Canis lupus familiaris: one gene and its partner. Each later gene encodes a partner of the first gene's protein in a complex. Links are inferred from orthologs where the notes say so. Each region holds a gene or a part of one and is shown on either strand. Other genes may lie near its edges.

The links. Proteins that work in one complex are often made in the same cells at the same time.
Region 2: the proteins of XIRP2 (region 1) and NEBL are in contact, whole or in part, in a crystal structure (PDB 4F14), measured with the Homo sapiens proteins. The link is inferred for Canis lupus familiaris from reciprocal best matches to the Homo sapiens genes XIRP2 and NEBL. Residues at the interface, in NP_689594.4 of Homo sapiens: Pro2420, Pro2421, Pro2422, Thr2423, Leu2424, Pro2425, Lys2426, Pro2427; in NP_006384.1 of Homo sapiens: Tyr963, Asp964, Tyr965, Asp969, Asp971, Glu972, Ile987, Asp988, Asp989, Gly990, Trp991, Met1004, Pro1006, Asn1008, Tyr1009.

Annotation. Positions count from the first base shown.
Region 1 is NC_049257.1:12,519,759-12,523,328, reverse strand, and holds part of XIRP2 (xin actin-binding repeat-containing protein 2), read right to left. Parts: coding exon 1-3,570.
Region 2 is NC_049223.1:9,995,996-9,999,565, reverse strand, and holds part of NEBL (nebulette), read right to left. Parts: intron 1,689-3,570; coding exon 1,578-1,688; intron 1-1,577. UniProt on the Homo sapiens protein: Binds to actin and plays an important role in the assembly of the Z-disk. May functionally link sarcomeric actin to the desmin intermediate filaments in the heart muscle sarcomeres.

The sequences.
Region 1 (3,570 bases):
GATAATCCAAAGCTCCAGTCTCTATGCATGTTGTGAAAAACTGAACATTTCCCCTCTCAGAAGCATCGATTTTCGCCCTTTCGGATATCTTATTGTTCGATATGGAAGACAGCAAATTGTGAATGGTACGTTTTACGTCACCCCCTATTACTTCTTCACGCTTAATTGTGTCACCAGTGTTTTCATGAAGAAGACAATAGATAGTCATATTAACATCTCCTCTTTCATCTTCCTGAATTAAGATGCCTTTCTTTACAGACCTGTCCTCAGAGAACAGGTTTTTTATTGCTTGTTGGACATCACCACTCACTATTTCTTCTTTTTCAGCATGAAATTCTGTTGATCGGTTTAATAATTGAGTTTTGGTCAAATTAACGTTGCCCTTCTCTTCTTCACTAACCCAAATCTCCCTTCTTGTGCAGTCTCTTTTTGAAAGTAGGTTCATTATTATATTTCTGAGATCAACCCTGATAATTTCTTCTTTCTGTATCTCAGGAGATGCTTGATTCATTAACTTGTATTTTGCCATTCGAACATCCCCAACTTCACCAGCTTCAATGATGATTCCAGGAGCCTCAATGACTTTTTGAGAGTAGAGTTCTTCTAATGTTTCCTTAATGCTCTTGCCAATAATTTCTACCTTCTCTACTCTACTTTCATTGAATTCGTGAAGGGGTGTGGTTTCAAAGAGCCATGTAGTTGTCTTGACATCAGAAGGAGGGATTTCCTCCTTGATGACTTTTGTGGTGCTTTCGTCGGCTTCCCTAATAGAATCCAAAGTTTGATTTTCAAAAAGCCATACCGCCTGCTTAACATCACCTTTCTGCATATCTTCCTGGGTAACTGTTTTGATGTTTTCATATTCTGACCCTTCTCCTCTCAGCTCATCTATGGTGTGGGTTTCAAATAGCCAAGTGGATGTTTTAACGTTGCCCTTTTGTATTTCACTGACACTTACTGTTCTTACATAAGTATTCTTACCACTGTTTTCAGACTCAAAAAATTGTCTACCTGCCTTTACATCCCCACCTTGAATATAGTCCACAGTGAGCATAGCATCACGTGATTCTTCTGAAATCTGATCCAGTGGCTGGGTTTCAAATCTGTATCTGACAGAACTAACATCTCCCTTCTGAATGTCTTCTTGTGTGACAGATTTAATAACATATACAGTCTCTGACTGATTAATTGAGTCTAGTGGTTTTGTTTCAAAAAGCCACCTCGTTCCTCGTACATCTCCATGAATCACCTCTTCTTTTTTAACTGTTGTCACTTCATGATAATAGCCTTCTCGATCTTGAATTGCATAGAGTGGCTGGGTTTCAAAGAGCATTCTGTAGCTTTTTACATCACCCTTCATTACTTCTTCAGTAATTGTTTTCTTGGTGCTGATACAGTCAGATTCTTCTTTAATCTCATCTAAAGAAAAAGTCTCAAAAATAAAGCACCCCTTTCTTACATCCCCACCTTGTACGTCTGTCACTGTCTTAACTAATTCGTCACCTTCGTGGTTCTCTTTTATCATATCAATTGGTTGGTTTTCAAAAAGCCACCTACAATTTAAAACATTGCCTTTCTGAATATCTTCAGTCTTTAGGGCTTTGATCTTTTTCAAAACTTCCTCTGAACTGGAACTTATGGAATCTAAAGGTTGGTTTTCAAATTTATGCCGCATGCTGGAGACATCTCCAGCTTGGATATCCATTTCCACGGCCTTGATTTCTTTTCCTTCCTCTCCTTGTATGCTGTCCAAATTTTCTGTCTCAAAAAGAAAACATGCCGTACGAACATCCCCACCTTGGATCTCCTCCTGTTTTACAGTTTGCAATTTGGTGGTTGCTTCAGAGTCATCCTTTATGGTATCAAGTGGCTTAGTTTCAAAGAGCCAGGTACAGGCTTTGACATCTCCCTTGTGAATTTCTTCACTGCCAGTCATTAATGAAACTTTTTCATAAAGAGACTCCATTGGTTGGGTTTCAAAAAGCCACCTGCAAGTTTTGACATCCCCTTTAACAATATCTGTCACTTGTTCAGTTTTACTTTCTACTTCTTCCATATTACTAAAATATTTAATCGAATCAAGAGGTTGGGTTTCAAATAGCCATTTAGCAGATTTCACATTTCCGGTCTGTATTTCTTGAGCAGATATTCCTCTGATTATCTGGAATTTATGAATGCTTTCATCAAACTGGTCAATGGGCCTTGTTTCAAAAAGCCACCTACAACTTCTTACATCACCTCTTAGGATTTCTTCTTGCTGCACTGTCTTGACTTGATGATATTTTCCAAGGTGATCTTGAATGGCATAAAGTGGTGTTGTTTCAAAAAGTGATTTGTTTAACTCTACAGCCCCTCTTGTGACTCCTTCCACCTCTATTTTATGTGATGCATCAAACTTAATTAAATTGTTTGATTCAAAGATGTGTGTGAAATTCTTTACATTTCCTCTGTCAACTTCTTCAAGTTTCACTGTTCGTATGTACTCTTTTTTATCTTCTCTAATGTCTTCCAGAGGTTGGGTTTCGAAAATCCATTTTTGGTGTCTAACGTCTCCCTTTTCTTCCTCAGAGGCAGTGATTTTTTGAAGTTTTCCCACATCAGGACTATCTTTTAAAGCCTCTATCGGAAGTGTTTCAAATAGATGCTTAGTAGTTTGTACATCACCCCCTATTATCTCTTCAGATCTTAGAGGCTCTGTATCAGGAACATCTTTTAGAATGTCTAATGGCTGTGTTTCAAACATCCAACACTTTCTGGAGACATCTGTACCTATTATTGTTTCCTTTTCAATGATGACCTCTTCTGACTCTTCTTTGATTTTTTCCAAAGGTTGAGTTTCAAATAACCACTTTGCCCTACTCACCCCACCTTTGACATTTTCTTCCATAGATATTCCTCGGACAACTTTAATTTCTGTGATATCCTTGTTAATTGTGTCCAAGGGCTGTGTTTCAAACATCCAACGTGCTGTTCTCACATCTCCTTTTTCAACGTCTTCTCTGTGAACAGTTTTAATTTCTAGCATTTGACCTAAGCCATCTCTAATAACATATAATGGTTGAGTTTCAAAACATTTTATACTTCTCTTAACATTTCCCTTAATTTCTTTGAGCTCAGACCTGAGTTGTAGTAGGTGAACTTCATCCACTGAATGAAGCTGTCCAAGCTGATCCAGATGTTGAGTTTCAAACATATATCTCACAGTCTTGACATCCCCACCAGTTATGTCCTTTGTGGCAGTTACCATTGATTCTTCTTGATGCATTTTATTCATTGAGTCTAATGGCTTTGTCTCAAACATCCACCGGGCAGTGCGGACATCTCCTCTGGCTAGCTCAGGAATTTTCTCAGCATTTTCTTCAGTGCCAGAAGAATGATCCCCCAGAGTATCTATGGGCTGAGTTTCAAACATCCATGTGGTATATTTCACATCACCACCAGCAATAATTTCTTGACCAGCAATGCCCTTATTGATGTTATCTTCATCTGGAGAGCCATTGTTGATGGAATCTAAAGGCTGATTCTCAAAGATCCATCTCATGGACTGCACCTCCCCCTTCAGAATTTCAT
Region 2 (3,570 bases), on another chromosome or scaffold:
ATTTCATAAAAGGAGCAGGTCTTAGAAGTCTGTTCTTAGGTGAAAGTCTGAAATACAAAACTTCTATTCTTTCCAAGAATCTGGTCCAATCTGCAAATTTCCATTCCATTTCCATGTCATTTGCATGTAAAGTGTAATAAAAGGTAAATGGTTTCCTATCCACATCCTTGTTATGAAACACTTAATTTTTCTCTAAGAATGAGGTAAAGCTATACAAAGTAACATGGAAAGGTTCCATAATATTAAGTGAGAAAACCAAGCACAGAACAAAATACATGGTATTTAAGGACTTTTTAAGTCTATGTGTGCATAAGTGTATGTTTATCTGTCTACACATAAAAATAGATCCAGCAGGATAAATTTGCAACAATGGCTATATTTCAGGAGGAGAATGGAAGGAGGGGTCCAGTGCCTATTCAGCATGCATCCCGCCCCCCCAAATCTGCCATTTCTAAGTAAAACCCCTATTGGTCAAGACTCCTATGCCATCCCCAGATTCTTGGTCCAAACCAATTATGACCATCCCATTACCCTGACCAGTCCCTAACCTGGGGCCGTAAGCGGATCCCAACACAGCAGTGACTCACTGGGCTCACTGGGCAGTTAATCAGCTATCTCTAGCTCTCCAGATTTCCTGGTGGTGGGGGGAGTCTATCCTGGGCCAGCTCTTCCTAAATGGAAGGGTCACATTATAGTTCTCAGAGGAATCCCACTAAAACTCTCCGCAGCCAGCCCTGAGGTAAGTGAGCAGTACTCCTTACCTGCATCTCAACATTCTCTTTTTAAATGTTTCTCAAAAAATCACCTCTTCCCAAATACTCTGTATTCCAATGACACTTCTATAATCTCGGAATTGCTGGAGGAGTTCAAGAGGTATGGAACTGGTTTTGGGGCATTTTCTTCAAAAAATGCACATATGGTCTGACTCCTACAACTTTGTTATCTGCTATCTATCATATCAGAGCATCTAAGCCAAAACTTCTAAATTAATATCCTGTCATTACATGCATTACACAAAGAGGAAAATATTAGATGAACGAACATGGTCATTCAGGATATATAGAATACTTCAATCCAAAATGCTAACCCTGTAGGAATTTCAGGCATGGTGATGAGGTCAACGGGGTATTTTGAGAACATGCAACCAAATTATACAGAAATGGTTATCACTGTCATGTCAGAGTCTCAACACAGAATTTTCAAGTTCTGTTCAGAAAGTTGGAAACACAAATACACCAAACAGCACATGACCTATCCTTAAAGAAAACATAGTATGAGAACATTTATTATAGTCTAGATGAATGTGAAATTTGTTGTATTTGTTGTATTGTAAAGGGCCTGTGTGTGTGTTCTAGTAAAATGCTTTCCCCCTCGTTTCTTAGATATTTAAAGAAAATGAGTAAAGCAGAAACCATATATTTTCAAACAAGCATGATGATCTGGAATGGTTTCCATTCCAAACTCTTAAACTATTCATAAAATTCTGGGGAATTCCATGTACTAATCAGGCTGTTAATATGATTTGCAAAGTTCCAAAATAAAGGTTTTAAGGCATCTGCACCATTTACTCTACTAACCTGACTAGCTATCTCTGAAGCTTTTCTGGCATGTTGTATTTCAAGGGTGTTGGTGCCAACCTGCATTCCTTTCCCTTTAATTTTTGACTCCAGGTCTTTCTTGTATTCTTTCTGTAAAAATAAATAAATAAATAAATAAATAAATAAATAAATAAAGCAACATTTTATAATATTTAGACACTCTGCAGACAGACATTCATCTGTAATCAAGGATACCAAAAAATGGCTGCACACATTTAAAAAAAAAAAGAAAGAAAGAAAACACGTTTTACATTGTACCATGAAATGATCACCTAGAACTAAGTTTCTGAACGGCTTAGAACTATATCACTATTCTCACTGAAGAAGGTTATATGAAGCTCTGAAGATTTCTTCTATACATGGTGAGGGAGGTGGGTTTAAATGAGTTGATGCTGTAGAAAGAATGCGGATTTTGAGGCCAGAGCACTCAAACTGGGAATGCTTAACATCTATGGTTTACTCATCTGCAAAATGGGGGTAATATTTCCTCCATGCACGAGCCCTCCAAGGATCAATGAGACTGCATATAACATAGTGCTCAGCACATAGTAGGTGTTCAATAACTGAAAACTTCTTTTGGTCTTTTACTCCTCTATTCATGTGCTAAGGCTGATTCACTGCTGTTCCTGCCGCTGTCATGCCATTCAACTGTTTCTGGATGGACTCTGCGCTTGAGAGTCTGAAGTGATATTTCCAAGTATTACTGACAAGTGATCACAAGATCGACCTCTTAATGTGAACTGCACATGTCACCATAACAGAAGAATCGGTCAGAATTACTAATTTAGGAATATGTGCTGATAATATTAACCAAAGACATGACAGTGGCTTTTAATGCTTTAATAAATTTAAAGAACACAGATACAGCCAAAGATGGCTATAATTTTTTAAAAAACATAATAATTTTGAATCCTTCTTTTAAAAAGATGTTTTATTATTTATTTGAGAGAGATAGCAAGAAAGAGCACAAGTAGGGGGTAGAGGGAAGGAGAAGCAGGAAGACTGAGTCGGGGCTCGAGCGCAGGACCCTGAGATCATGACCTGAGCTGAAAGCAAATGCTTAACCAACTGAGCTACCCAGGTGCCCCTTGAATCTTCTGTACTTACAGTGCAATTAAACTACCAAAGAAGTTAACTGAACAAATGAATGACCATGAGAACCATACTAGATCATCAGCACATTACACTCCTCTGGACCCAGACACAATGATTAGGGCAGGTGTAGATTAGGGCAGGATAGAAGTTGATCCAATGAGATTCATTCCTAGGACCTTAACTGTAACTATAAGAAACAGATGCTCACTTCCCATTGGGATTACTGGCACAGATGAGTTATCCCTCTGTTAGGAGGGGCCATAGCTTAGAGATAGCCTCCCAAGTTTGAAGCAATAGAGAAGATAACAGAACTGAGAGAGGAAGGAAGAGAGACATCATTCAAATTCCAACCTCAAAGAAAATAGACTTTGGACTTTCTCTATTCACAAGCCAAAACATTCCCTTTGTTGCATAACCCAGTGTAAGTTGGGTTCCTATCATTTGCAGCCTGACTAGTAGGGTTACCACCATCACCATTACAACAGTTTATAAGCCTGTGAGGACACAACTTTAAATTTCTCACCTCTCAATTCAGTCAGACTCTCCTCAAAGCTCAGTGCCATTACCTGATTCCAAAGTCATGACAGACGCCAAGGATGAAAGAACTAACAGCACTTCAGAGGCATTTCATTCCTTCCCACAAATTCCACGTAAAGTGAGCAACGGCCACTTCCATTTCATAAAGAGGTTTATGGGGCAGGGGGTCACTGAGCAGCCGAGGAAAGGGTTGGGGGACACTGCTGGGTCGTGAACAGGAGAGCACGTGAACCGCACCACAGTTACTGACGGATCATGACAACACGGTTCCCAATTCTCTGCCTTTCACTTCTTTAAAAGATGAGGTTGAGTCTCATACAGTTATTCCAGTTTATTACAT